Neodiprion lecontei: one gene and its partner. The protein of the gene in region 1 interacts with the protein of each later gene in a pairwise test. Links are inferred from orthologs where the notes say so. Each region holds a gene or a part of one and is shown in the gene's direction. Other genes may lie near its edges. The genes, in order: calreticulin and ubiquitin-conjugating enzyme E2-17 kDa.

Evidence for each region.
Region 2: the proteins of calreticulin (region 1) and ubiquitin-conjugating enzyme E2-17 kDa interact in a two-hybrid assay, tested with the Caenorhabditis elegans proteins (2 studies listed by BioGRID). The link is inferred for Neodiprion lecontei from reciprocal best matches to the Caenorhabditis elegans genes crt-1 and ubc-1.

What each region holds. Positions count from the first base shown.
Region 1 is NC_060263.1:39,261,077-39,276,977, reverse strand, and holds calreticulin, read left to right. Parts: upstream 1-7,135; 5' UTR 7,136-7,217; coding exon 7,218-7,302; intron 7,303-8,272; coding exon 8,273-8,377; intron 8,378-8,979; coding exon 8,980-9,183; intron 9,184-9,478; coding exon 9,479-9,630; intron 9,631-10,062; coding exon 10,063-10,329; intron 10,330-10,427; coding exon 10,428-10,664; intron 10,665-10,876; coding exon 10,877-11,020; intron 11,021-11,260; coding exon 11,261-11,278; 3' UTR 11,279-11,990; downstream 11,991-15,901. Other genes in the region: uncharacterized protein LOC124294163, read right to left, coding at 928-993, 1,347-1,534, 2,952-3,726, 4,419-5,414; E3 ubiquitin-protein ligase TRIM23, read right to left, coding at 13,844-14,032, 14,158-14,526, 14,612-14,985, 15,095-15,203, 15,482-15,901. UniProt on the Caenorhabditis elegans protein: Molecular calcium-binding chaperone promoting folding, oligomeric assembly and quality control in the endoplasmic reticulum (ER) via the calreticulin/calnexin cycle.
Region 2 is NC_060263.1:34,344,356-34,360,827, reverse strand, and holds ubiquitin-conjugating enzyme E2-17 kDa, read left to right. Parts: upstream 1-7,624; 5' UTR 7,625-8,244; coding exon 8,245-8,288; intron 8,289-9,369; coding exon 9,370-9,450; intron 9,451-9,914; coding exon 9,915-10,119; intron 10,120-11,207; coding exon of another isoform or gene 11,208-11,333; exon of another isoform or gene 11,334-11,761; intron 11,762-12,351; coding exon 12,352-12,507; 3' UTR 12,508-12,913; downstream 12,914-16,472. Other genes in the region: 2-oxoisovalerate dehydrogenase subunit alpha, mitochondrial, read right to left, coding at 2,986-3,064, 3,152-3,415, 3,569-3,772, 3,875-4,019, 4,124-4,285, 4,459-4,654, 4,748-4,927, 5,348-5,584; inhibitor of growth protein 1, read right to left, coding at 14,339-14,907, 14,992-15,195, 15,535-15,670. UniProt on the Caenorhabditis elegans protein: Catalyzes the covalent attachment of ubiquitin to other proteins.

The sequences.
Region 1 (15,901 bases):
TCGCAGACGTGAGTGACGACCATGTCCTCCTCCCCTTAGGTCCGCCTGCTCCACGGTCTCTTGGATCGACTCTCTTCGCCGTTCCGAGGAACGTTTCTCAACCGAGCTATTCGCCGCTATTCGCCGCTACTCGCCATTCGCAAGTCACCTGGTGCGGAGCGGCTTCTCGCGCTGTGAACTTAGGTTCACCAAAGTTCACGCAGACTTGGGTATTTTTTATTTCAATTTTTTCTTTTTCTTTTTATCTCAACCTTTTGCCATCGGCGTTTGTTTTTTTTATTTTTTCTTATTTTCTTCAATTTTCTTTAGTCATCTTGCTTTTCGACTCTTTTATTGCCAGATTGAATTGTTGTCGTTATCGGGATCACAGACAATTAACCAAGCACCGTGACGTAGACGTGACGCGTGGCGCGAAATGAAGAGTCGTGAAAAACACGGGCTGGTTTAACTTCGTCGACGCCTCGTACCATGAACCGGAAGAATTCTTCATCGAAAAGACGTTGTCAAGCTGCGTGATTAACGCAAACTTTGGTTTATGAGGAGTAATTAATTAACCTGTGAGATTTATTAAGAGAGGGATAAATTAGGAGAAGGTTGATTGTTGTTTATGCCGCCGGAAACTTTCGACCGATTTCATTGTTGGTATGTTGTTATGATTATTGTTATATCTATTATTTTATACGCGAAGTCTTGTACACCGTATTTAAACCATGTATGGTATGCTAAATAATTTAACTCCATATATCTGTATGGAAAACAATTATAGGTTGCGATTCAAAATACATACCTACATATATATATAACAAAGGTTCGAAGCCGTTGATAATTAAATGTTCTCCCTTTGCTTCTTCTTGCCTTAATTATGTCCAGATCCGAAGTTGAACGACAGTATATAATGTATGTACATACATCATAATTATTTAATGATCATGTCACGTGACATCGCCTCTCTCGAATAATAATATCACGGAAACGTTGCGTTTCACGAATCATCTGCAAAGTAGAAAACAGAATTTATTATTCACGTGTGCCGATTATCAATTTGAAGAAAAAAAGAGCAGTACAGTATGGTTAGATTCGATGCCGCGATATCGAGATATACGTACAGTAATGTTCATTAACGCCGTCACCTTTCGGCTAACTTGTTTGCGGTCCGAAACAAGATGCGAGTTCGTTTCTATACTAATTCCGTGACAATGACACCCAATCTCTCACATCGGCTGCATCGCCGGTCATTGTCACAAAATTCGTATAGAATCGAACTCGCATTTTGTTTCGGACCGAAAACAAGTTAGCCGTAAGATTAACGCATTAATGATTATTACTGTACGTGGATGTCTCCCCACCTTTTTCGTTTCTTTCAAAGTGACTGGGATGTACGTTGCGTTAATAGTCGATGCTAAATTGCTGTAGTCTCTGTAAAGGACGAACTGCTGTTTCAGCCAATGTCGTATTCCAAGGACACGTTCGTGAATCATTCGCAAATGTAAACGGCTCTCGCAGTCCAGGTTGGCGGTCTTGTCGTCTTCGAAATCTGGATCGAAAATACGAATCAAATGTTTGATTGAATATTTGTATTTTTATCTTCTCTTCGTTACTTAGTTTTCATTTACTTGTTTATTTATTTATTTTATCACCGAACCACGCCCTCTTTCCGACAGAAAGAAATCGTGATTTGTTAGCGAATGAAGGAAACTAAAGTTCAGTTTAGAAGTCGTAAAACAGTGAATAAAAATAGCCGGGAACCGGATTTTTGACTCGTTACGTATATATAATCTGTTACCGCACAATCCGAGCGAAGTCAATAATTATAACTGCATATCTAGGAAAGCAACCGTTTTTGGGAACTTGTTCAATCCTTGACAATTAGACAAAAAGAGGGATCGGATCGTTGACCTCATAAGAACGAGGAAAGTGGGAACCTATTCCCAAGAGCATGAATTAATAACCATAATATTTTAATGTTTGAGGATTATTTGATTTGAATAACTTCTGCACGTATTTTATATAAAAATGTTTCGTGAAACAGAGATTACAAATATTGCACGGAGCACACGATGAAAACAGTTTTTTTTTCCCTATGTTCTCAGAACTCTATATCTGTACACATCTTCGTGTATTTTATTCTCTTACGCGTTGCATACACATACCTATACGATGCACAAATTGCATGTCCAAATCGACTGAATAAACTTTCTTCGCGGCAGAGTATATGGACACATACCTATATTACTATACGCGCATGTATATATAAGTTCGTAAGAAAAATAAATAGGAATACGTAAACTGAGTGATTAGCGAATGAACGGTCGGTGCGTGGTTAATTTTAGTACTGGATTGCCAGAATCCGTTTCTCGTACAGCTCGTAGTTCATCCTATCGACGTAAGTATATATGATCGTGCTTATAGCTCGCAGGCGTTTTCAGAGCAAGAGGAAAAAAAGAAAAGTGATAAATGTTTAGTGAGAGTTCAACAAAACGTGGATCAGAATTTTTTTTTCAGAAAGAACAGAACCCGATAATACGATCTAAATCAGTTAATTCCCTGTACATATATATATATTTATACGTAACGAATTAGTACTCGAATAATAATTATCACACGACGATGCGGGTTCAGGTTTAATATCAGCATGAGCAAATTATACCTGACGTATACACAACAATTAAAAATAACTCGAAATTTCACGCCGACGAAAAGTTTTCCGAGGATTCGTTTTTGTTCGATTCAATATTTTGTTGTCGGTTGGTCGTATTTTTTTTTTTTTTTTTGTTAAATCTTTTTCTCTCCGACTTTTTTTTCTCGTTAAAAATACAACAAACGTCGCCAGGCCGAAGCCGAGGCCCTGGAGCAACATGCGATCAGAGGCGGCGAGGCTGCAGGCAGTAGCAGGTTCGGACCACGGCGAGGCTAACGGTAAACTATATACTCCAGTGGAGGCACCAGTTTACCGGGTCGTTTAAAGGCAGCGACGTTCGGGAGGTCGAGCGGCTTGAAGAAGGAGCGTAGACTCCGGTTTCGTCGCACTCCAGAAGACGACGAGGCTGCGTCGCAGTCCCCGAATCCGTCATCCTCGTCAATAATTTGCTGCAGGTATCTGCGTACGCGAGGTCTAAGCTGATCTCGTTCCTGTTCGAGAAGAAGCTCCTTTAACCGTCTTCTGAGCCTCTCCACGTCCCCAGCTACCCGTTTCGCATCTGTTTCTTCTTCTACGCCTGCGGACCGGCGATGGCGGAGCTTCCGGTTCTCTCTGGTTCGACTTTTGCCCGCCCGATGGCGCTCCTCCGTTTTGACTTTTTTCGACCGGTGCTTTTCAACGCCGGTCGCAAGCCGAACACCGCCTGCGGAAGCTTCTTCGGACGATGGAACCCGTTCAGGTTGCTGTACGGCCGCAGAAGCAGCGCTCTTCTCTTTTTCCCAATCCTTGGAGCGAGTCTGCAGATCGAGTTCTCCGACCAGTGAAACTGGAGTTTCGATCCTCGCCCGGTTTCTCACGCTCTTAGACTCCGCTTTTTCCAGAACCCTTTCGTGTCTCTGAAGCATCTCGGTGGGGTTGGTAGACTGCGGATTTTTACCTTCCATGAGGAAAACTATACGACGATTTTCCGCCAACGTTTCATCCTGTTTAGTAATAATTTCTACGTCTTTTCTGCTCCCGGTTTCAGGATCTTCTTTCGACGAAAGTCCGGAGGAATCCCTGGAAGAAACTGCAGGCCTTCGTTTCACCTGGTGAAAAAAATTTCTGTTATCCTCTAAAAAGTTTTTCGTTGAACATTTTGCTTTTTTACGATCTTGCCTTGTACAGCAATCTTTCAGATGGCCGTAATTTATCGAAGAATATCTCAAAATTCTTACTGTAACTATATGCACTGCGTTGTTCTTTCTTGAGTCTTTACATTCCTTGTAGGTACGTATTCATAATCTTATAGAGAGAATCATTTCTATAAGAATTGATATGTGTCTGCGAAATTCTTAAATGAAAAAAAAAAAAAACAATTCCCGTCTCCATTTCCAGTTCTTAAATTTCTTCTACACGAATTGTAAAAACTCACAGTTTTCTACAATTATCTACGTGAAACTAAAGCTGTTTTCTATTCAATGATAGATTGTCGTATAGATTCTTAAAATTCTTTAAGAATTCACTGAATTTTATGTTTAGTCGATTTACTATACTTTTGTCTTAAAAAATTGTGGACCGTCATAATTTTTCGTAGAAGATCGTTACACTCTTCTACGAAATTTCATGGAGTTTTACAAAGTATCCGAAAATTTTTCCATTCTGTTTTAGATAATTGTAGATGAATGTAAGATCAAACGTAATACTTGATCGTTTTCTGCGAAAAATCTACAAGGAAAAAAAAAAGAAAGAAAACACGATATTCGTTACAAATTATCAACATCGCGGAAATAATTTTTACCCGGTTCATCCGGCGAATCTCATCGCTGCGATCAGTCGAAGGCTGCGAAGACCTGAGAAGACAAACGGGGCTTGCGGTGTTTCCGTTCGTCGATGCTTTTACATAATTGCTGAGGCCAGGATCCAAACCGGCGTCGCATTTGCTCAGGACGCGAATCACCTTCGGCGCTACGAGTTGGGTGAGCTTTTTAGTTTCCAACTGCATCGATGTAGGCGATGACCGTTGCGGCCGATAAGAGCCCGAAGGCGAATATGAGTCTTCCGGTTCTTGCGCCTGCAGATCCTCCTCCACGATACTGAGAGTCTCAGCAGAGGGCGTACTTCTAACAAAGTCGTCAGAATAGCCGGCGGATGCCATCAAGGTCGGTGAATCGGCGTCCAAGGTGCTGGCTCGCCTTTCTTCCCCATCAATTATCGACTCGACGCTTTTCATAGTTATTTCTTCGCCGAGAGAAGGGACGTCTGGGTGGTCAGAGACCGGACGTGAAAATGGCGCGATCGACCGAACGACTTCCGGGACTTCTTCGCTAACCGAGGTTTCCGTTTCCGTCGTCAACTTGCCCGCGGCTTCTCGCTCGGATTCGACCTGCAGGGACGGAGTTTCGGATCGTTTTCTTGCCTCCTGGTTTTCGGCTCCACCGGCCGCCGGACCGTCTCTTTGATAATTCGCCGATTCTTGGCGCGGGCTCTTTTTCCCCGACTTACAGTCGAAAATCGTCACCAACTCGGCCGTAGGTTCCGAGGCTTCCTGCCCTCGACGTCCTTCGCTTCGCTCCAAGTAAGCTTCGGGCATTCTCACGTCTAATTTAGGCCTCACAATCGCATCGCCGGAACCAGATTCACCCGCGGGTTTCGATAATTCGTCCGCGCTGTCGACTGCGCTTATATCGCTCAAGCTGGATTGCCGTTTCACGCGATCCTCGCTGCACTTCATTTTGTACTTTCTGTCGATTTCCTTGAGTTTCATCAAGGCTGCCGTGGCCTTCGATCGCATCATTTTACTTATATTTATATTACGCTTTTTATACACTGCAATGAACTTTTCAATTTTGCCTAATTTTTAACTGTCAAACGATCCTCGTTCTAATACACCTTCTGCCTCTGGAATCGACGCGGCACTACCGTCGCCATGATGTATACAAATTCGTTGCCATAGTTACGGAATTAAGAAAATATGACGAGCGACCCCCCCCCCCCGGCGGCGGTTTGGCAGGGTCACGTGCCACTTATAGCGGTTTGAGTTAATTTGACACAAATGATTTTATCTAGCTAAGCGATTGTTAATCCTAGAAGTTTCCAGCTTCGTGGAAGATAGTATAATATTTTCAACACCACCTGGAAGTTTAATTGCCTAACTTAATAGGTTGCACTGCAATGTGCAGTTATACTTATAATAATCGAATTTTACGATTCATGTACGTATTCTCGAAAATTCCAAAGTCCAAATGTGACGGGTAGGTTCTCCCGAAAACATTTCCCTTTCTCGAAACTCATCGAGATACTGCAAGGTCCTCCTATTTCGGATAATCGACTCAGGCAATAACGCGTGTTGCATGTATCGTTCGATATAAAACTTTGAACTGCAGACGGTAGAATCGTGTTTTGATCTTAATGCATTGAATATATTGAGACACGCGTCTACGCGCGAGAAGTTGTTACCTTAATTTTCGAGAAACATTATATATATACATATACATATACGTACTTTCTTACAAAAACAATTTCCTTATTTTTTCTTAAAAATTCTTTACGCGACCTCGCCAATCACATCACATATTATCACCGTCCTACAATAGCTCGTAACTGGGTAGGTATAATATATATCCTATTGAGATATTTCGAAAATTTGCACATAATTGCAGCGATTATATCACTATCATTTGCCGAGCTATAGGTAATATACTATACCGAGCTCGAGGTAAAGTACGTAGGCATACGTAAGCGGATAACGTGGCAAGAGTTTATTACGTCGTGTGCATGGATGAAAATTCTAAAATATACTAGTCGCGTGAGCTATGCATTAAACGTATTATCGCTATTCTATTTTCAGAAACTTCGTGCAACGATTAAAAACGTTTACCTATAAAACCTGGGAAAAATTATGTTCACATATTTAAAAAAAAAAATTGATTATTCTTCAATAAACATATTTTTCTGAAATATATGATTCTGAAAATCTCTTCGAGAATCCAAAAGTTTATATTTATTTCAATGAATAACCACTTTTTATGTAATGTTTCGCCTATACTTTCATTTTTACACCATATTACATTCATGTATACTTATAGGTATGCCTACAAAAAGTTTGCAGAAACGAAAGGTACGATGTTCAATTGTTTGCAGAACAGCGTGCTTGCATATCATCAGTAAGAAAGTGAAAATGTTTTCCTGCATCTCAGTTATTTTGTTGATAAATTCTCTTGTACCGTGCAACCTGACAAATTTTCAGAATCTTTCCACCTGCCGTTGATTAAAATCATTCTCGTTTGAATAAAATTCCGACGTGAGTAGCCGGATGCGCCGCGCCGGTTGATAACTCTGCATTATCGACGCGACGTGGTGTTTTCTATCTGTTTACCTTTGGATAGTTGATTCGTCATCTACGTAGCGGCGCCTCATAGGTCGGCGAGCGTGGTCGGAGGTGATTGGTCGAAAATAGGGAACGAATGAGCGTTTTCCATCTGTCTGGCCCGACGGCTGCTCGGTGTCTCTGTTCGCCACCACGTCTGGCATTATTGGCTTGTTCCTTGTGCGAATAGGACGATTTGACGCGGGTTATTTCGCGATCCCGGCGCCCGAGATGCGGTCTTTTTACGCGTTCTTCGCCTTGTTGGCGATATCGGCTGTATGTGCTGAGGTCTACTTCGAAGAAAAGTTCCTCGACAGTGAGTACAAGACCATTTTCAACCCCCTGATAATACCATCTTTCGTATCAGTCCTTTTACATTTCTTCTCCCTTTTACTTTTCGTCACCCTCGATCTCTTGACAATGCGTCAACTGCTGCTCCTGCTGCCACTCTGTGACGACGTATTTCTCGACGTTCACTCTCCCGGGCTTTCGATGTCAATTTATAAACCACACCCTTTAAATATTACCATCTCTTCATGTGCGTCGGAAGCCGAGTAGGCAAATTCCGTTCACTCGGCAGCTTGATAAATGCGGTTACAAATTTCCCCGCAACGAATACCTACTTAAATAAATTTGCTACTATAGCATCATCATTATTATTATTAATGTTATCATGATCATTCGGTGCAACGTAGCTACTTCCCGGCGAAAGCTTGTATCTCAAATATAATCAATTAATCACGGTCAAGAGGATCGATATCGTTCGACATCGGAGTTTCATTGGCACTTATACGTTAGAGATTATCGGATAAGACAAAATTTTCGGCACCGGCATACGTGCTGGCATTAGTGGTATTGTTATTATTATTATTTGTAAATAAAATACAAACGAAAATGCCAACCGGCACGGCAGGGACGAACGAACGTAGAGGTGGCCACTCTCCCTACTCGGATTATCGAGCGCTGCCATCTGTGACAGTATCGCCGTAGGTATGAGACTATGCTATCATGTAGCACGCTCAATGCTTCCTTCTGCTAATTGAACTTCTAGACTCTGTAAAAGAGACCCGCCAAGTATCGTCGTTGAGGAAAAAATTAATCGTTGAAAGCGAAGTGCGAACGTGATTTCTGTTAACGTTATCCTCAAATATTTACGTGTTTAGTTCTACAACTTGGATATTTCATTCGATTTCGCGTTTACTCTTGACTTTAATTAAAGTTTTCGTTCGTCTATTAATGGCGGTGAAAATTATAGCTAACCTAATATTCCTGTCTTTTCATGGCAGACGCATGGGAAAAGGAATGGGTATATTCTGAACATCCCGGTAAGGAATTTGGAAAGTTTGTACTTAGCCATGGAAAGTTCTGGAATGATCCCGAGAATGACAAAGGTTCGTATCTATAACTGTTTTCGTATTTATCTATAATTTGCTTTGCCAATGTAACATAAAACTAATTGATCTGTTTGAATTGATATTTAAATTTTTTATATCAAGTAATTGATTTCTGCCACACAAAAGTTAATTAAAATTCTTGAACTTTGAAATCTTCAAATATTTTTTAATTGTCTACTTAGTTTTAGATTAATATCAATGCATATAATTATGTTTAATCTTAATCGTAATCATTGTAAAAATTGAAGTATAAATGACTCACGTTGAATTAAAATGAAAGAAACTTTCTTTTTTATTAAATTAATGTATTTCATGTTCTGCAAAAGATAAAATTCTACAGCCATTATCATCTTTCAGAAATGTCATTAAAGAAGGCAGAACAAATAACTGTAATAAGAAAACATTTTGATAACATAAAGATAAATTCAGTTTGTTTACTTTCACTTCATTCAAAACTTTATTATTGCATAAACAATGTCTTCTATGTATTGAGAATTATATTTTCAAGTGTAATATTTATAAGAAAGCAAAAGAATGAAAATGTAAACTTTATTTTAATACTTTGATAAACTTTATATTATATATAATTATTTCTTCAGGTATCCAGACGTCCCAGGATGCAAGATTTTATGCACTCAGTAGGAAATTCACCCCGTTCAGTAACAAGGATAAACCACTGGTTGTTCAGTTCTCCGTTAAGCATGAACAGAACATCGACTGTGGAGGAGGATATGCCAAAGTGTTCGACTGCTCGTTAGACCAGAAGGATATGCATGGAGAAACGCCATATCTTCTCATGTTCGGTTAGTACGATTAAAACCAATTTGCTAAATTTGCAATTTCTTCACTTTCCACATAATAAAGGAACAGCCGACTTGTTTACTTTTTATTTTTATATGAAGTATAAATTTAACTCCCCCAATACCAGTGCACTCCTTTTGGAATTGATCCAACATTGTTAGGTTGACTATCTGCGTCTGTTTACATGATAATTGAAACGGAATTTCCAAATAGTTTTGGCATTAGATCAATAAATAAAGAAATGGAACATATTTGTTGTTTGTTTAGCAAAATGCATAAATTTCTTTCTGTGAACAGGACCCGATATCTGCGGACCTGGCACCAAGAAGGTTCACGTTATATTCAACTACAAAGGAAAGAACCTACTCATCAGCAAAGACGTTCGCTGCAAAGATGATGTCTACACTCATCTTTACACATTGATTGTCAAGCCAGACAATACTTACGAGGTAAAAAATGCCAGACTTTTTTTACACTGGTCTTGAAAAGCGATTAGATTGCTACATTTTGTCAAATATCAACGAGCAGAAGTATACTCCCAGAAGTCATTCACTGACCATGGATTTAAAAACAAAATTTTAAATCGAGCCTAGAGTCACTCGTCAAGTCTCACCCTTGTGGAGGATGAGTGCTATAGGAACTCGAAGAGCATAACGCGTCTTACTTATGCCCTGGAATAAGTTACTATGCCTATCTCAGGTACCAAGTGAAGACACAGATCACTATAATACGAGAGATCAAGTCGTAAAAATGCTGAGATGATGATTCTGATTGTTTTGCCAAATCATACGTCACTTGGACATTAATGTGCTGTCATTTTTGTTAAAAGTGGACGAATTTTACATTTTTACTAACATCTTTAATAATTTTCTTTGCTTCAGGTCCTTATTGACAACGAAAAGGTTGAATCCGGCGACTTGGAAGCTGACTGGGAGTTCTTGCCTGCGAAAAAAATCAAGGATCCGAACACCAGCAAGCCTGATGATTGGGATGATAAGCCCACCATCCCTGATCCCGATGACACAAAACCCGAGGACTGGGACAAGCCAGAACACATTCCTGACCCCGAAGCCACGAAACCAGACGACTGGGACGACGAGATGGATGGTGAATGGGAAGCACCCATGATTGATAATCCTGACTACAAGGTAAGAAGCTTCAATAGTGAGGGTGCACAAATTATGAAATATCATTCGCCAAAAACCATCGTAAAAGTAATGATACTTTCATTTTTCAATTATCGTAGGGAGAATGGAAACCCAAGCAAATTGACAACCCTAACTACAAGGGACCCTGGATTCATCCCGAGATTGATAACCCTGAATATCAACCAGACCCTGAGCTCTACAAACGTGATGAGATCTGTGCCATTGGTTTTGATCTCTGGCAAGTCAAGGCCGGTACGATCTTTGACAACGTTCTGATCACCGACGATCCTGAATTAGCGCACAAAATCGGGGAAGAAGTTTGGAAACCTACTTTCGTGAGTGAAATTTTTTTGTCACATTATTAAAAGTGGTGCAACGTTGTTGAACTGTAATTTAAATTAACGCAAAATGATGATAAAAGCAGGTCTGATTATAATGAGCGATAAAAAGCTGGAATTCCTCGTTACTGACAAATACTCTATCAAGCAGTTGACTTTTGGCAGTACTTTGAGAGTGCAAATCTTAATTTAGAACTTTATTAATTCAGGAAGGAGAAAAGAAGATGAAGGAAGCTCAGGATGAAGAAGAGAAGAAAGAGAGAGAAAAGGAACTCAAGGAAAGTGAAGACAAAGAGGAAGACGATGAAGAAGACGAAGATGAGGATAACACCATCCCTGATCCAGAAGAAGCAGTAAGTATTCACAAAACCTTCACTTCCTCAAGAAAAATTATTAGCAAATCTCTAATCTCAAAATGATGAAAAGACGATTTCCGATTATTATGAGCGATAAAAGCCGGAATTCCTCGTTGCTGAAGCTTTATCTGTTGATTAATTTCTTTTTACTACCATATAAAGCTTAAGTTCTCATCGCGTGCTGAACAACGTGCTACATGTCGGATATAACAAAATGGAATTGCTTCTTTTTTGCAGGAACACGACGAATTGTAAATAGTGTGTCAGGTGGCACAAACACAGACTGTATTCCAGGAGCTGCTGCCTAATTGTGCGACGCTATCAACTATTGCAAGAGTGTGAAAAAAGAAAGAGACAGTTGGAATGAAATATTACAAAATGTTATACACTAGATGCTTTCAAACACTAAATAGTGTGTAAATCATACGTGCGGGCAAGATAACGTTGATAAAATTTTAAAAACGTTACTCATCTGCGCAATTTCGTAACAGTCGGTTGCGAAACCGAGAAAACTGGTTGCTATTATTGAAAGGATAACAAGTTTCTCTAATTGTCGTAATAATTACTTCAAGTGATTGAAGAATCTCCAAAAATCGTCGGAAAAAAAAATTATTTAAATCGCGACAATTTTTATTCTTGCCCCCGTGTCCACATCATCATCATCAGCTCCAAAAGACTAAGTTGTTCCGTTTTTGTTTGTCAAGTGTTTTTATATATTATATTGTATTAAAGTAATTTTGAAATTTACTTTGGATGATACAAGAATTATTATTATTATTTCATTCTCCTTACAAGTACAGTGGGTACGCGTTGCAATAATGCGCTGCGACTTCTAATAGTGGTTATGAATTGAAAAAAAAAGCAAAAAGTGATGGGTGTGTGCAAATCGTGAGTGAGTGATAACAATAGCTAATAATTGTATCAAACCACCAATAACCATATAATAAATAAATAAGACTTTTCTAGACTTTACTTTGTTTATTGACACTCGCCAATTTCCAATTTCCCATCATTGTTTCTCTACCGTTTGCATGGGAAAATGATAAACATGGAACGAAAAGAAGACTAAATACGTTTGTAAACTTTTACTTGTTAGAGATTGAGGAAAATTTATTTACCCAATATTTGCACGACGTCACCAGAGAATAGACGATTGGTTTTTAAAAGCGTTAATTATCGTAATTTATTTGGTGACATATATAAATATACACTAATGTACATACATACGTAGTAGTCCTGAAATGGAAGCTGCACATTGCTTTACCGGAGCTAAGAAAATTAAATAGATTGTGCACCAAGGAGACTTACACCAAGCGTAAGTTGGTAATGAGTCGTAGGCGAGTGCATGCGCAAGCCGAAGACGATATGGCAAATATATGAGGCGAAAAAAACTATCTCAAGGTGCACATGATACTTTATGTAACAAAATTGTTGATTACAAATTTTTTTCGTATAATGGAGTACCAAGAAAAAGCACTTTTCAGTACTAGGACACAAAGATGCACTCCAATGCTCTTTTTCTTGTACTTTCGCAAAAATAATTACTTTATGTACAACTTTGGAAAATATCGAGCATTTTTAATTTTGTACTAATTTCATAGACATCTCTTCGGCATTTTTCTACACATCAAAGACTGAAGGTGATAAGCCATTATTATAATTGAAATATTCTATCACAATATTTGCAGCATGATTGCATCTTCAGATTTAAAACTACAAAGTTGAGCCAATTTAACATTGTCCTGACTTTCATCATTTCTCAAGAAAAAGTCGTTTCAACCGCAGTTTCATCTGCATTAAACAATTGCTTCAATCCGTAATCTTCTTCCGGAATTGTTCTCCAGATTTTTTCTACCTGCAATGCTAGGAGAAACGTGAGCTGATTAATTTTCGCTACAAATAATTACGATTAAAATCTTTTTTAATTCCCATGTGTTGATGAAGTTCTAATGCTTCAACTGAAAATATACATTTTCATGAACTTGTGTTTTGCCATCTAATTTCGTACAATTTTACAGTGTCTATCCACTGCACATAGCACATCGCCGAATTCGCTGTATTTTAAAAAACCATTTTTTCGAATTGTTTTGACTCAAGAAAAAATATCTTTAAAATAATAATTTAAAAAGAATAACCCATGGTTACTTCTATTGAAGCGTGACGCTTTTACTGCTTTTACCGAACCACAACCCACGATCACGTTCGACTACGTATTCGGCTTACATGAAGTTTTTGACAATTTTTATAATTTATAATTAGCCTTATTAGAAAAAATTATGCACGACAGTTTTGCGGTATAAAATAAAATTAATTCATAAGTGCAGAATATGAGTGTTTCATATTACTTTTTATCAGAGGTCCGTTCAATGGAAGACCGGATTTGTATGTTCTATAAAACCAAATATACAATGCCTCTTGTAAGTTATCTAAAAGAGATATCCTGATGCGTTTATTTTTCTGCCTCTGATTTAGGGTGATTCATGTGTCCAATCTCAAGTTCACTCTATCACTTCATATTTTTTTCCCCCACTTCTTTTACTATAGCTCCGGTATGAATGTCCTTTAAGATGTCTATTTTAGCTAAAATGATAAGGCTATTGCATTTCTTTTCATTACCGTCACATTTGACACTATTCTCTGTTATGATAATTTAATACTTCAAACACAGAGTCGATTCTGGCCATGCTTCCGTTCAAGTGGCGCGGAGTACCGAAAAAATTTTGACAGCTTTCGGTATTGAATTAATGAATATAACGTGTGGCGATACAAACCGTGCCTACTGTAAATCAGAAAACTAGATTCACCTAGTATTTTTTATGTTTAGGTACTGTTAGTGTACAGGGCCTCGTTTGCACCCAATTGCTGTGTCAGCCAGTCTAATCCCTGAATGAGACCAGTGGAGTCAGTCAGAGGCGAAGATCCCTCTATATGCCAGGCTCTACCACAGCAAAATTTTTGTAACGAAAGGATTTCCGTCAGCTCTTCGACTGTCGCACAACCTGGTACATCCTGAATTAAAAACAGATTATTTTCTTTTTATTTCAACAATAATCAATTTCACCTATCATCAATTTCCTAAATTGGACTGATTATTCATTTCATTCAACATGTAAAGTCATAAAGTCATGTTGTACCTGCTTGTTGGCGTATATAAGTAACAAGGCATCTTTCAGTTCGGGTTCGCTAACAATTTTTGTCAGTTCTTTATGCGCCTCTTTGAATCGTAACCTATCGCTAGCATCGACAACAAAAACGACAGCCTGAGTATTATGGTAGTAATGCTTCCACAGTGGCCTCAATTTATGTTGTCCACCAACATCCCACAATGCAAACACCAGGTTTTTATACTCCAGACTCTCTACGTTGAATCCAATGGTAGGAATCGGCGGACTGCACAAAGCCATGTCCCTCATGGCAAATAAAATGCTAGTTTTTCCAGCCCCATCTAGGCCAAGTATCACGACTCGCATTTCTATCTTTGTTCCAATATAAACTCTGTTGTCCTAAATGAACGAAATTTGTAAAAATAACGCGACTCTTTCTCTAAATTTCCCATTACCGATCATGAGAGAATTAAGCTTTACGAACCCTGCTAAATATTATGGGAATAGAGGATTCGGGCGTGAGCAGGTCTGGGCCAAGCTGAGCGTAATGTTTCTGCTGCTGTTCCAATGACGTCAGAACTTGGCTGACATCTCTGGCGCTGCTGAGCAGTTTCCAATCTTCAGAACCCAACAGACTCTCCCACTGAATGCAAACTTCGGCAACTTGGGTCCTAGTCATATTCAGATTTTCGTGTAATTCTCTAAGCGTGCAAAGTCTTTCCCTTGTTTCAGCATCAACGCACATTGCAGCTGCTTTTTCCTGTTTTGCTAGCAGTGACCTCAGCTTTTCAAAGTGCTGACGTACTCGTTGCCGAGCATCTTCTATTGCCCAGCCTTCTAGTTCCTGTATTACAATTTCTAGAAGTATTCGATAAAATGTTAACAAATTGTCTGCAATCAGTAATTGTAATACTGATAATTAAATGTTAACTGCTGCATCAAACAGAGCCAAAATTATCTTCATTACCTATCCTATGAGCTGTATCCCTCATGTTTTCCGTAAATAGAGTCATTTTTTGCATTGCTGTGATGATTGAAACTCGGATATTCTCAGCTTCTGTCTCTACCAATGTATGCTGCAATTCAATAAACAAATCTAATGAATAAATCGAATAATCAAAGTCCTGAACAGTGTTCTTGAAGTTTACAGCCAAACATTAAATCCGGGAAACATATGAACCTTTTATTAGACTTTTCTTAACAATAAAGTTGAAGCTAGCAGCCAGAGTTAGCAGCTAAACGTGTTAAACTTTTTGGAAACAGGAAAATATGTTTAATTCCACTTTCCAATATTCATTTAGATTGACGGGTGCAACAAATGAAACTCTTTTGTTTGAAAAACTATAAGCTTCACCTTGTGAGTACTGTGCCTCCCATAGTCCCTGCAAAGGTAGCACATAAGAGCACTGTTGCATCCATCCTGTGTGCATGTGAATTCAGCGATATGCGTGCTATGAGTGGGACACTTTGGTTTTTCCTTTGGTTTTTCAGACAAAGGAATGCGCCTGTGTCTGGCGAGAGTTTTTGACGAGTGAGTGAGAACATCGCAGGCGTCGCAAAGGTGAGTCATGCATACTGTGCAGTACAGAACAGCAACATGTTTCTCATCTTCGTCGCACGGCTGAGTAGACTGTAGCCTTTCCCGTTCGAGTTTCATGTTTTTCTCAATATTTGACTCTTCTAGCCTTTCCAAGAGTTCGATGAGCACAAAGTTCTTCTTTAGACTATACACTCCATTCTTCTTGATGGCTGTGGGCTGCCGGTCGAAGGGACA
Region 2 (16,472 bases), about 4.9 Mb from region 1:
AAATAAAAAAAAAAGGAATTCAAAATTTGCTCTTCGTGATCCAAAATTAAACAGTAGAAAATTATTCGTAACCCACGCTACTTCTTAATATACTGAGCTTGCAGCCCACTAACCAAAATCTAACTTAATATTTACAAACCTCAAACGCGCAACCCTCAATTCGAAACCTGGACACTTTAACGCTACAGCAATAATTGCTCGAAATCGAAACTATAACTATAATTTCTCGATGGTTACTTTATATTCCCCTGGTTTGTTAAAAATACAGTTTCTTTGCATCGGAAAACCCAGACCATTCTACACAAAAATACTACTTGTCAATATTTTTTAGAAATAAGGCAACATTCGATTGTTACTAATATTTGAGTCCATGCTGTAACAAACCCTGATGATCCTTAGGCAATCATTATCTCAAAAGTAATAAAAAACAAATGTAAAGATGATCAAGGTTCCTTTTTACAACTTCTACTCATTACCTGGTTAGTTTACGACTCTGTCCGCTGACCTCCAAACACAGGATTGTTCAGAAATTTATTACCAAGTGGCCCAGATTATAATTGCCCGTATCTGTCCGCTTTATTATACATTTATGGCAGTGCCCGTATCGATTATTAGGAATTGCGAGTTTGAGAATATAATACATATACCCGACGAAGTCGATACTATTTTACCCGTAATTTCTGCATTTTACTGATAACCCTTAATAATAATATTAGGGATGTGCCGGATAGCGATTTGGCCGGATATCCGGCCATACAATATCCATCAGTAAGGAGTCATTTTTGAATTTTATTTCTTCAGGAAAGTGAACTACATTACAATCGAGATACCTTTTGTAACAAGAAATCCCATACTGAATGGTAATTTGCGGACACCTCGTAAACTTTGACGATATTTTTTAGTCAGAATTATAGGAAATGCTCATATTTTTAAGATGTTATTCATCACAAACTATTTATCTTCTACTATTTTCACCAGGAAATATTGTCAAAGTGTACGAATTGTCCACAAATTACCTGTCAGTACTGGAATTTTTTTTACAAGAAGATTCTCCATATAGTAATAACAATATGACTTGCAATTGTGTCGTTCAGGACGAAAGTTGAAAGTTTACCGAGTGTTGTAGTGTTGAGGAGGTAAAATTTATAAATTATTATGATTAAACGCGAATGAAAATGATGCATTGATCAACTCGGTAGAAAATTACTAGTTAATTAAATGTTGAAAGTCCGAAAGACAGAACTTACAGTATGAATCCAATTTTTGGAACATGCAACCCAAATTTACATAGACAAAAAGTGACATTGATAAATAATATCCGAATAAGGTTTCGCCGATATAAAGTAAATTAATAACAATTGAACGTTATTTAATGCAGCTCAATCCTACGTTCCACTAATAAAACTTTTTTGAAAAACGATGTCAATTAATTACAATTCTAAATTGGATATGAGAAACTATAACGACTGATACCACCTGAAGATGGATTTTCCGGATTATTTGTAATCAAATCCTTATCAATTATATACGGATGGTTTCATGCTGAACTGTTTATCGCTCGAATGAATGCGTCAAAGGTCGTACCAAGAAGTTTGGAGACGTGCACTCTTTAAATTACGATATTTCTGTGAAAAACACATAGCGGAAAAGTTGTAAGACCGTTCGGAAGCTTCAAAAGTGTTCTGCTTCCAACAATCGATTGGTCTTTTCTGAGACAATATTCTGACGTTAGCATCTCACCAGTAATAGGTTGTACATCGTATTTTTCAATTTATTGTTTATTTTGCAGACTTTTGCCGTAGTTGGAGAATAACACGGAACACCCCCTAACAAATCGGAGCCTTGCTCCAGAAATTACTTATTGTTAAACTAATGTGTTAAAATAAGTAATGAACTGAACCTTGAACCAGACGACTTCATCGTTTACGCGTAATCACACGTCACTAATCACTAATCCTTTACGCAGGGAATGGACAGTCGGAATAAAGAATTAGAATGAACTGGCAATACTAGTTTAAATTGATATCAATTACCGTTGAGTGTAAAATTGTTATTCGTAGAAAGTTGATTCTGATATTTGACGAATGTTACTGTTAACTGAATTAAATGTTTTTAATTTCTCTGCAAAGTTTAGGCTGTAGTTTTTTACCCTGCTTCACCCATTTGCAAAATCATGTATATGCACATCTAAACTCCTGGAAGTTAAGTTTTTCGATATTTTTCAACAGTTTAAACTGCATCAATTTGAGTCGAGGTTTGATCAGTAATATTTAGATTGTACGTTTCTGATGTTTCGCAGACTTCTCGCATAGTTTTGCAAACAAAAACACGTCTCCGACATACCTATTTGATTGACATTTATTTATCCGTTGTATAATTTCGGCGTACGTATTTCTTGCACGAGATTTTCTCAACTTTTCAATTTTGCGATGACGACGATATGTTACCAACGTTTTGCACGCGATAATTGTTGGTTATGAAGAACTTCTTTTACCGGCATGATCAATTACTTGGTTGATAATACGTGAAACTGCTAATACCCCCAAACCCGGCCAGACCCGGCAAACCGTTACGAAAAATAACCCAGGGTCTTGGCATGTTTATGTATTCCTAAATTCTTGAACCTAACTTCACGAACGTTAGGCTAAATTTTCATGCAGCGACACAAGTTTCGGGCGCGTCATCGGAGAAGCATGCCGAGTGTTGCATTTACTTTTGATTTAGCGAATAAAAACAGCAATTTTTACCGATATACTTTTTGAAACTTAATATATTCATACGTATTCTTTATACATATTTGTTCTCTGCGGTCGGTTAAAGTTTTAACGCGTGCGGGATATTTACAAAATAAAACTCGAAGAATTGTTGATTAAATTATATATATATTTTCAAAGGTACAGAAAAAGTTTTCAGATTCCCAAAAATGAAGGTACGTAAGTAAAGATCGATATTTGTTTTCGGGATTGGAATTATTTTAAACCTGATTCACTGTTGCTTGTAAAGTTCTACTGGATAATGTTCTTTGTACTGGTCGACGTGCTTTGCCATCGCTTCCGATTGTTTCCTAAAATAAATCAAACGTTTACTCCATTAGCTCCCGATTGTTTCACACGTTCAGTTATCTCGCATTGATCGTACAAAGTAAACGTACTTAATATGATCTGGCATGTTGTAGTACACGTCAGTGAACACCTCCTTCCAGTTGGGTTTTACGTTCTTTTCGGCCGCTGCAAAATCCGATAGTATCTGCTTTTTGATCGACGATACGAATTCTTTTTCCTGCTCCTCAGACCACAATCCATATTTTTCTAGGCACTGGCGAAATCTTGCGATCGGTTGCAGTTTTTCCCATTCGGCAATCTCGCTCACTGATCGATACGCAGAACTGTCATCAGAGGTACTGTGATGACCAATTCTAAACGCATGAAAAATGATTACTCATTAGCTACCGTAATTTTATCAGAGCGTACAATCGTACTAAACGTCACAATTAAGTGATTATAACAACTACCAATTACAAACAACAAACATCAGTGAACAATATTACGAAGTAATGATTGTTTTATACCGATATGACATTGCTTCGATTAGCACAGGCTTTCCGTTTGCCAAAGTCCACTCTTTCGCTGCACGCGTAGCGTTGTGTACTGCAAATATATCGTTTCCATCGACTCTAATTGTGTTAATACCGTACGCAGGTCCTTTGGCCGCGATACCATCTCCCTTGTACTGCTCACGAGCTGGAGTGGAAATTGCATATCCATTGTTCCGACTAAAAAATTAAATCCTTAAATTCCATTCGCATGTTTAGTAGATGTATTGTTGGCGATGAAGTGTTCAAACTAGTAGTTTTCCAAATTCTGCATCCACTTACCATATAAATATAACGGGACAATCGAGAGTAGCTGCGAAATTGAAAGCGGCGTGCGCGTCTCCTTCACTAGCTGCACCTTCTCCGAAATAAACGGCAACGCAACGGTCCGAATGTGCCAGTTTCAATGCGTACGCTGCTCCAACGGCTGACGGAATATAAAAAAACATGTAATTAGTTACAAAATGTGGATGGATTTCGTATCTAAATTACTTTATATTGAAAATAATACAGAAATGGCGTTTACTTTACCCTGCGGTAATTGAGTCGTTAGTGGCGATGATATAGTAACGAAGTTCAATTCTTTAGATCCGTAGTGAACTGGCATCTGTTTTCCTTTTCCAATATCCTCACAGTTTCCGTAGCACTGGTTCATGAATTGTTTTAATTTAAAACCCCGCCAGAGCAGTACACCTGGAATATAAAAAATGTTAGTAATTATTTATAAGTCTATCTTAGCATTTCTGTCAAATTTCCTGATTGTAAATTTCAGCTCTGACGATTAGGACCAACGATATTTAACTTCTTGAGTTTGCTGAAGTCGTGAGAGGGACGCGATACGATACGAAGAAATAATCTAAACTCACCAGCCTCCCGATATTGTGCGTAAACAACATCGTTTAGACTTAAAGCTGCTGCAGTTCCAATTTGAACAGTCTCTTCGCCAGAATTAGTCATGTAGAACGATATTCGGCCTTGCCGTTGAGATTCATAAAGTATTTTATCCATTACAGTAATTGTTACCATGTCCTTGTACATTTTTATATATTTCGCCTCTTCCAGCTTTTGGCAAATTCAAAATTCAAAATATGAATATCAACAAACATTGAATCGTAAATACATGGGTTCGTACTGGTGATTCGAATTTTAACAAACCTCGATATTCGCCATTGCTTCATCCTCAGTGGCAGAGCCCAATATTCGATATATTGGAATAGAGCCATATGAAGTCGCATTGGTAAATTTGAGCTCATCCGTGAAATTGTTAGAAATAATTGGAAACTTGGGATTACTGGGTCCAAATGTTGCTGAAGTGGTGAAGTTACCTTTGTGAATCTGTAAAAAAAATCAAAAGAAAAAGTAAGTATTACGTACTCGTTTATAAAATGAACATACATGAGAATATTAATCTCAGAAATAGGAAACAAACTGATGAATTTCGAATTCTTGAAATTTCTAATCAATAGTCTTTGATTCTATGACATATTATCCTCTTTTCCGCCAATCTTTCAAGAATATCAGGTCTCTAATATGCGTATGGCAATCGCAACGACACGACAGCTATCATTGACGCAAGAGATGTTTACTTTGGTAGGACATTATGATATGTTACAAGTTGCCACTATTAAAAATATAATATCCACGTCATGCACAGATTAGCTTATCGTTACGAACATTTAGTGATCGTTCGCTTACTGACAGGCAATAGATCACAAGCGTCATTGATATAAGATAGAAATGAAAAAAGAAACTCACAAGACATTGTGCTGAAAATTGATTGAAGATTTTTTTAGCCCACGTGACTCTCATGACCAAATGTAGACAATTCCAATTGCTTAAACGGAGTTGAGTGAAAGAATGATAAAGTTGAAGGTACAAAGAAAAGCAGTGGAGAGGTGTATGAATTTCGTGCGACCAACTCGACGCGAGAACTACGACACACGTTGAACTCGATGAATAATGAACGAATTGTAAGCATTGTTGTGTAACCATACACTTATCATGCCGGTTACTACCAACACTTTAACTGATAAGACACGCCGGATCGTTTTGGCGTATACTTATGTACACTACATTAATTTATTGTAAAAATTATAATGTTGAATATATATTGTTAAACCTATTATCGATCATCACAACAATTTTTCAGAACAATATTCGAAATTTGAAATCGTATTCCTCGAAGTAATTAAAATGACGAGCATCCGACCAAATAACATTTCTTCATGTGAAAATCTGTCGACTCATCATATCAGTTTGGTTATGATTGTGATTTAATTGCATGCATGGATACTGAGTTATCGAAAACTTGGGAAACGGTGTATTTCAAAAATATCCTTATCATTATGGATGCTGATAAGAGTACCACTTGCTCAACCTGGTAAATATAAATACGCATACATATTTATAACGATTCAGGCTGAGCAAATATACCAAATTTTCTATTGTATTCGAAGCAAATATTTTTCAACCAACGTTGTGTATTATTTATATTTAGGAAAAAGAATCAAAAAAATATGAATGTTCAGTAATATATAAAGTGTTCTTCCTCTTCGAGCACAACTGTAAGAATGTCTGTAAGTGTGTTTACATTTTGGAAACTTACGCTTCTAATGCGAAGCCCGTAAGACAGTCAATGACCGTCTAATAATTGAAATGCGGATATGCATTATCAATATTAATATTAATCACGAGGCATTTTTCGTTGTTGAACATATAATTTTGAAAAACTGGTAAATTCGAAAAATTAACGACGGAGCCAGGAATCGAACCTGGTATCTAGCGATGCTTTACCGGAGCCTTACTCCACTAGACCACCTAGTCGCCCTGACTCTGATGTCGTTAATTCCTCTCATCACCAGTAAGTTCAAATTTGTTTTCTCGTGCTGTAGTATGTGTGAATATATAAAGTGTTCTTCCTCTTCGAGCACAACGAGCATTTCAATTATTAGACGGTCATTGACTGTCTTACGGGCTTCGCATTAGAAGCGTAAGTTTCCAAAATGTAAACACACTTACAGACATTCTTACAGTTGTGCTCGAAGAGGAAGAACACTTTATATATTCACACATACTACAGCACAAGAAAACAAATTTGAACTTACTGGTGATGAGAGGAATTAACGACATCAGAGTCAGGGCGGCTAGGTGGTCTAGTGGAGTAAGGCTCCGGTAAAGCATCGCTAGATACCAAGTTCGATTTCTGGCTCCGTCGTTAATTTTTCGAATTTACCAGTTTTTCAAAATTATATGTTCAACAATGAAAAATGCCTCGTGATTAATATTAATATTGATAATGCATATCCGCATTTCAATTATTAGACGGTCATTGACTGTCTTACGGGCTTCGCATTAGAAGCGTAAGTTTCCAAAATGTAAACACACTTACAGACATTCTTACAGTTGTGCTCGAAGAGGAAGAACACTTTATATATTCACACATACTACAGCACAAGAAAACAAATTTGAACTTACTGGTGATGAGAGGAATTAACGACATCAGAGTCAGGGCGGCTAGGTGGTCTAGTGGAGTAAGGCTCCGGTAAAGCATCGCTAGATACCAGGTTCGATTCCTGGCTCCGTCGTTAATTTTTCGAATTTACCAGTTTTTCAAAATTATATGTTCAACAATGTTCAGTAATGCAGTGGTACCAGTTACAAATTTCTGATTCTACACTCCAACAAGTTCTTTCCAGGGTCAATGATATTCCATAAAGCCAATCCGACTGTTTATTCGTCTGGTATCAAACTCGTGGGAAAAAAAATTTCTTCAAATAACGTAATGGAAACTAACGATAAGAAAAGCAAGACAGAGTACAATTTGCCTTACTAAAGGCAACCGCGCATACGCCACGTATGATATGTTGCGTGGTTTAGTGGTACCAGGAGCTTGAACTTAAATTCACCTAGAGGTGGCAGGACGAACGAATTTCGCGGCGACGCGACGCGTCTCTGGACTGGTTTTTATCGCCGCGGAGTGTGGGATGAAAGTCTGGGTTCGTAAAAGCGATTAATCGCCACGGTTGATTTAAATTCCTGACGTCAGTCGTCAGATCCGAATAGCTCAGCAGCAGCCGCTGTTCCGTGTGTCACACTGTTCTCCGTTCTGGTAGTGTAGGAAGTGAATTTCCTCAATTTGTCTGTGACATGGGCTTTTTCATGTAGGCAAGTGTTGGTCTGGTGCGTCGGGTAAAATTAGACAATTATCGGTAGGGTAAGCAGTGTTGAGTTAAAAGAAGTTTCGAGAAGTAAATGTGATACAATTCTTGTAACATAATATAACGGTATTACATCGAGAGATAGCAGCTTTTAGTCCAGGGGGAACGAGATATACGCAGCAGAAGGAAGACAACGGATGCTCCTCGTCCTCGTTTCCGCGTTAATAACGGCACGTCAAGGACCGTAGCGCGTTGCGTGGTTTTTTTTTTTTTTTTTGAAATCTTATTTCCCTCCTTTTTTTTCTTAAACCCATTGTGCTCTTCTACGGCTGTGGTGTTTGTGCGCGTATCTTTTTCCTTGTTTCTCGAATTATTCCTCTCGGAGAAACCTGCCGCGTGCGTAGTGTGCCAAGGAGCGCTAAAGATTCGCTGGGTGGCTCGAACCCGTCGTAGCACATTACTCGTGAGGAGAAGTGACCAGCCCATTCGTAAGGGATGTCCACCCCTGCCAGAAGGAGACTCATGAGGGACTTCAAAAGGTACGTAATCCAATAACTCCCTCGGTCGCATCGTGATAATCGGTTCAACCTTACTTCTCCCCGTCATCCCCTTCGATAGAGTTTTAACCCGTTAAAAAGCGTTTCGTTACGATGGTCACATGCTCACCAATTCACCAACACAACCGACGTTTTACCCGCTGTGAACGTCACCGTGACTTGTGCTCTGAAATTATTATTAGAAGGCCGTGAGAACGGTGCAGAGGATACACGTTGTATTTTCGTGCACTTAAAACAACTCTCTCGTCCTTTTTATACTATTTGTTTACTCCAACCATTCGCCTATTCCTGATGAAAATCGTTCACTTTTACATCAGGTTTATGTTCAAATTGCAATTTTATCGCCATGCTTTATGTCATACATGTTAGACGTTCTAGGTCAGACAAATCACATTGTCACAATGTCCTCCACTTATCCATAGTCGATGTTGAAACCTATGGCTGATCTCTTCTTTGTTCTCTTTCGCAATTCAATGAAAATTAAATATATCTACTCATTAATTTGGCAACGTGCAATTTTGCACGCCTAAATATGCTTGTGACTTGCTCAAAGTAGTATAAGGAACACGATGAGTAACAGCTATCAGCTAGTCGCGATGAGTCAACTACCGCCTGCCCTTAGACTAAGTTATTTTTCAATTAAGTAACTCGTCAGGTGCACAACTAAACTGTAAAGCCTCAGGTGGTTCGTTGTTCAATGTTCATCAAGCATTGGTTTATCCTCAAATTGCTAATCAACGTGATTCGTTGCTGAACCGACGACATTTGTATGCAGACTCGACTTGACCATGACTGAATATGGTACACATTGGGCAGTCATGTTTCATTAACGCGTAAACTAATTTTATGTAGAGAGTATTAAACTTTATTTTGCTACTTTCAAGAAAAACTGTTTCGATTGAATAATGATTAAACATTTAGTTTTTTATTCAAATAGAATTACTTCGGTATTGAACCAAATGTCTGAAGTGAAAACTGTTAGAATACCGGTAAAAGATGGAATAAGGATTTGATTATTTGTTAATTATCGAAAAGCTTGACAAATCTTATGCTTTATTTGCAGGTTACAAGAAGACCCACCAACTGGAGTATCTGGCGCACCAACAGATAATAATATCATGATTTGGAATGCAGTTATTTTTGGGTAAGTGTTCGTAAGGCAGAATAATACGAAAGAAAATGATAATAATGTACAGATCGATCAGTAAGAAAATTATCCTCTTTGTGATTACGATGAGTCATAAATATTTATAACTTATTATTTCCAGCTGATTCAATTTTAGCAAATATTTATTAACTCTTATTTTCTATGATTGATCGTTACAAATTCATCTTTTAAGATAGCGAACAACCAATCAAATAATACCATTTTAGAAATAATAATATGATTGTTATTATTGAGCTTGTGAATGGCATTACCTGACCAGCATCTGTATAGTTATTCATCAGTTTGGATGAATCACTACGTATATTGTTGCTTCAAGGTCAAATGCCAGCCAAATTACAGTTGTTAATAGAGTCAGTATAGTTAGTTCAACATTTAGCTATTTGATTACAGAAAAATATAATGAATCTTTGAAGTATTTTCATCACTATCTCAAATTGCAGACCACATGACACTCCATTTGAAGATGGGACGTTTAAACTAACCATAGAGTTTACTGAGGAGTATCCAAATAAACCACCGACTGTGAGATTTGTCAGTAAGATGTTCCACCCAAATGTATACGCCGATGGAGGAATCTGTCTTGATATATTACAAAATCGCTGGAGCCCAACATACGACGTATCTGCCATTCTGACATCAATACAGGTATGTCTGATAATACATGAATGCTCAGCCCTGCCTTGCTTGTGTTTGAAATAGCGTGATTCCATTCTGAAACTCCTATTGCATCTACCTTTTAACCATGGTATTTTATATCTCCTATGTCTAATTAATATTACCCTTTATGAACACAAACATACCACGCTGTGGATGTTTTGGAATGGGAATTACCTAATTTTTGAAAGTTGATTCTACTCAAATCAATAGCTATTCAAAAGTTATTTCTACTTGCTCGTTTATATTTCGACTTAACAGATTCAGTGTTTCGAGAATAATTTCTCGCTATGACTGAAGGATTATTTTAAATCCTTATGATGCAGCATTAACAAAATCCAAACCAATACTTTGATATGTATATCAAGGTTCGGAGTAGTGCATTATTAATAAGGTAGAAATGTATAAATTTACAACCACGAAACTTTGGGTAGTTTTTTTTTTTTTACCCGTCCGCATTGACCTTCTCACCAAACTTGCGCTATAAATCTTAACCGCTGAATTTGCGCTAAGAAAATTTTTTTTGTGCTTAACAGCGGTTGCAATTCAAAAGTCTGATTAACGTGTTGTTGAAATGTATAAAATCTTTATGCATAGAATAGTGAGCTAACATATAATTTGAAGAATGTGAGTTAAATTTGCACGAAGTTTATTAACGAATCCTTCCCAATGTCTGTCGTATTACTGTTGTACTGGAATAATAATACTAGTGATTAATAGATTTTTTGATAAACAGTTTCCAAAGCACACATTAATTTCAACAACCCTTTTCAGGTTAATTTTTATGTGAAAGCTACCTTGCAAAGTAAGGAAGAAAGGACAAGGAATTTGTTATGAATTGACTTTCACCTTTGCTTTTATGCTTGTGTGGTCTTTGATACTGAGAATATTTTTCCTCTAAAGAGTGTTGTTGGAAAAGAACGAAGTAGCACAGAAATTGATGTGTACTATCTGGCCTGTTCATCAGGAATCCTATAAATCATTACGTGATAGGTGTAGATCTTCTATTCGACAGAATGATAATGAGGTCCGAAGAGATCGAAATAGATATTTAAGAAGTACGACTTATGTTATTGCAGTCGCTGTTAAGTGATCCAAATCCGAACTCTCCTGCTAACTCCATGGCAGCACAACTTTACAAAGAAAACCGACGTGAGTATGAGAAACGAGTTAAGGCTTGCGTGGAGCAGAGTTTTGTGGATTAGTGGCAACTGTTGTCACTATCGATGTATCAATCAGCCGATGGTCTTCAAAGACGGAGGAAGAATTTACAGCCACTGAGGGCCTTACCATCAAGCTAACACCTAGGACTTAGCACGTCACACCCTGCAACAAGAAAAAGAATATACAACTTCCTTACAACAAATGCAATGTGCAACATTAGAGCGAATTTTTACAATGTTGTATAATAAATTATTATTAAATTGTGTATTTATTTATTCAATATTTGGAACACAAAATTAGAAATATTTAATATTAGGGAATTGCATTGTTTTGTTGTATCTGTGCTAGAAACGATTCTTCACTCTAAACCAGGCACAGAGTTGTACTTCTATTTAATTTTAGTACTTCATATATTACCGAAATTCATCTATATATACATACGTATAATAAAATGCATAATTTCAAATTATATAATCAATTTTATTACTTTTACCCAATATGATATACTCAATAACAATGCACGGCGTACAGGTCGAATTTCACATTTAGCAATAGTTAATGCTTTCCACAGAATCTCAAACTGTTGTTCTTTCGTTTCTCATATAATCATAGACATTAGAAAGTACCAGCTATTAAAAAGTTTTCTCTCTCCCTCTCTTTCTCCCCTTTAGTAAACAGCAAACCAAGTAAAACTAGATAACATAATATTAGATCCATCGTAAAATGTAAATGAATATTTTTTATATTATTAAGGTAATAAATAGATTTATCAGGAAATATTATTAACCTAACTGACTAACTTCATTGCATCAATAGGTAGAATGTTATACATTCTTTTCTAATTTTTGTATAAATTACGACCCGATAATGGCGCGTCTTATGAGTAGCATCAACTCTCTTTCATTTATCGCAAGGACACGGGATAAGTGGTTCAGCGATTGGCTTGTAATAGCTGGTGTATCTGAAATTACCGGGGCATTTTTATCCATTCAACTTGTTCACATTTTCTTTTTCTTCATCAAACATTCTTGAACGACATTGAGACTGTCTGTGTTTCAGTCTCTCTTGGACGAACCAAATCCTAACTCTCCGGCAAATTCACTAGCTGCACAGTTGTATCAAGAAAATAAACGGGAATATGAGAAACGGGTGGCCACAGTTGTTGAACAGTCTTGGCTCAACTTTCAAGAAAGTCACACAGAAGATCCCCGCTGACATTAGGTAACGCATTATTAAGTATAGATGGCTTACATTCAGGTATACACGTATATAATTTCATGATAAATTTACTTTGTGATTGTCACTGTAATCTGTAAACTGAGCTGCTTCAATGACATCTTATTGGTCTATGAGGGCAGCTCAAATGACAAGATACTTTTTGATTAAATGGTTATTGTGGAATTATATTTAGATAGTTCAACCTTGTCAAAAAAATTTTACCTTTGTCTACTGATAGGGAATATATTTAATCTCTTTATTCACCGGTATCCATTCAGCCAGAATTTAATTGAGCTGGAAAGCTATAAATGTTTTTTCAATGTCTACAATTTTGTGCAATACTTTTACAACCATTACACCTTGTTCCGTGTATTTTAAGCAAATAAAATGATTATTCAAATTGCTTTCTGCATTTTTACACAGACCCACGCAATATAGTACAATACGGTATTAAGAACAGAATGTTTCGATTTTGAACGTATTGTAGGGATTAATAATGGAACACTGGTATAGCTGCTGATTCAGGCTTTATTAACAAATGTTACAAAAACACTTATCAATTTAATACGCAACTCGGGATGCATTTCAGATGCAATTCTCAATTAGGGTCAAATAATACTCTGGAACAAACGACTAGACGTAACTAAATAATACGTTATTGCTTATATCTCGACATTGACCCGATTATGCAAATGATTAAATTGGTAAATTTGCTTGTGCACTTGTTTCGAAAGTTATTATTCGTATTAGGTATTTCATTTAATGAATTATCGCTGCACGGCCAAGGCTAGCCTTTAACGTTCTGAACGTACTTAAATTGATTTGTATATTTCTCAAATACCGATTGTATAAAAATTATATACATATTTGTATATCTATATCATCTTAGCATCGAGTGATGTGTAGTAAATATTATCAAGTCACTGTTGAATAGAAAGATAATTCATTAATTATCTATTTAAAAATCTAATGCTCCTTTTATTGATGTAATGTAGCACCACGCGTCTCTTATATGTAACAAGGAAAATTCATCCATTTAAACGCAGAATTCATTCATGTTATAAATTACGATAAAGGATGAACAAAATCTATATATTTTATTCAAGCTGGAAGTAAAGAAAATTTTGCGATATGATGACAGATTTATTTCGTGACTGCTGTAGTTATTTTTAGCTGATAAACATAACGAGAAAGTGGAACATTTTATTGGATATTCCATATCATACATTATTCTTGCTGGTCACCATACGCTCATTCACAATATTAAACATCGTATTGTAGTTTAAAGAAATACTTTTCTGCTGAATAAATTTTCATTACGATTTATTTACATAGTTCAACTTAATTCCAATCTGCAAGAGAATAAATAAAAATGCTCGGAAACTGATCAACAAAATTGGGGTTTGACTCAATTCCTGTGAAATAAGGTAATAATACTTTTAACACGAGAAGACCAATGATGAGCTCAACACCTTAGATGTGTATCATGCTAAAATCATAAAATTAACTTCAACACATTTAAATATAACACTAAACATTAACTGTGTATTATGGTTGAAAATAGTAAAATTGGTGTTTGAAAGATTTTCATGTTGTGTGAACTGAATAGTCAATTATTCTGAAGGAAACTGAACATCGGTTGATAACATTCCGATGAAAAAAACTTGAGGTCAATATAATTCCAGCAATAGATTTTTTAAACATGCATTGTAAGTCTCAAAGAATATCTAAATCATTCTGTAATAAATAAAACGGAATCATTGGACAAACAATGACGAATCAATCAAATAATGGGTTTACCATTTTATTCCCATCACTATTTTTAATGCTATGATTTTTCCTCCTTCTCTTTATTGTACCTTTCAAGTTCTTTGAGAAACTGAGCCTTAGGTTTCATAACGTTTGGTCGGTCTCCCCTACATTTTGGACAAAACCATTTTCCCTTAGGTTTCGTGCTTAGAGAGACGCATGAAAAGTGGAACCACTCTATAGGACACAGATCATTGTCGCAGAGGATCATTTCTCCGTATGAGATCTGATCGCAAAGGCAATATGTTGGCTCGTCAGGATCTATGGCATCTTCAGGCGGTGGCGGAGTATCTTCCCGATGTTGACTTTGTTGAGTAACCTGGCGCCTCCTCTTCTTCTTCTTTCCCGTAGTAGCAGCAGCTGCCTTTTTCTGCGATCCTGTATTCGCGGCAGCCAAGGTAGCTGAACGAGTCTCTGTTGCGACAACTATGTCCATAGCATGCGCAGATTCAACCAAAGTATCATTTCTAGGCCTTCTAGTCCGCTTTGTTTGCCTCTCAGAAGTGTTGGCGGTTCCAGTTGTTGCCGCGTTGACGTTTGCATTAGAATCTCGTGCTGGTTCTGCAGCTTCTTGTTCCTTGCCAAAGTCTGTGATAAACCAGAAATTATGTTTTAGACACAAGGTAAAGGGTGCTAATTTTTGGTAGATTAATAGGATATATCGCAATATACCTAAATTGCGGTAGTCCAAATCCAATTGACGTGACTTATTCTCAATGTGATCTTGAACCTGTTGTACTATCTGCAATTTTTCATCCCCAATTTCTTGCGCCGCTATTAGGGCTTGTTGAACTTTTAGCAACGCTCGCCTCCAGGTTGACATATCAACGTCGCTTCGCAGTATATCTTGCTGTTGATCAACGTCTCTCAAATAGCCTAAAATATATTCAAAATTTTTGGTCAGTTGTGGTTACACATCCACTCTGGCGAATGTCTGAACTCAATTGGATGAATACAAAATCTGTCAATTAGCCTGACCTCCAATTTCGATATTAATGAAATTAAAATCAACGTATTTGGGAACATATATTTGCTTGCTTTTTTTTTTGTGGAGATACTGGCGACGTTTACGCAGCGGTTTAGAACAAAAGAGAGTTACAGTATAACCTTAAATATGAAACAGAAAAAAGTGAAATATAGCTGAAACAGCGGAAAGTAGCAGTTTTTTATTTCATTAAGGGTTGTTTTATTGTAAAGTGACGATGAATTAATTACTTTGACAGGTAGCGTCCAGCTCCCGTAATCGAGAGACGTGTCTTTGAAGATCATTTGGAAGATTTTCAACGCAGTCCAAGTAATTTTCGATGTAAGTTGCGGAGTACAAAGCCTCGATGACTGCCTGGTTTAACATTTTCACCCGAATTCAAGCAAATAAAAAACCATCGAAATACGCTACAGTTTCACGTGTACTTCACCACCAATATGTGTTATACTTGGATTTAATTGTTGTAAGTTTTGTAATTCATTTTACACTCGTAGAATTACGAATTTTGTAGAAGCGATACTCGCTGTTTTCATAATGCACATACTCCATGGTCAAATTATAAATGTTCGATCCGCCATGTTGAATTGTAATAGTTAAAATACGAAGACGTCTGTTCAAAAGCAATCTGCAGCAGCATCGATATTCTTACTCAAATTACGTTCAATTTACGTAAGAAAGGTTCTCGTTGTTTCTCAGAATTAGTATCGACCTAGTTCGGAACGCATTACTGTGAAAAAATGCTAAAACTTTTGTTCAAAAATTTGATTGTAAATACTACGCTGCGCGATGTGTAGGTGTATTTGAAACGATTATTTTCCAGTTATTAGATCAAGTTTTGGAGTGCGATTTTTCAGTGGTACAGAAAAAAACTTTTGAGATTGAGCCTAAGCGTTTCTTGGACTCGAAATATTGTCGGGATATAACAATGAATTCGCAAAATATTCATAACCACAGAGGCCACAGAGTTGACGGAGAAGAATTGGAAGTCGGATCAGTACTCGGCAGGTAAATGGCTTTGAGACAGTAAGAGACCCTATTGGTATTTTCTTTATCGACGGGAACCGCTTGACACACTGTTATGGTTTAACATGCAATCCCATAAGACACACCCCCATTAGGGTAACCGTCTTTAACAGCCTTCGGTCAACTTCACGTATGAACTTCTTCG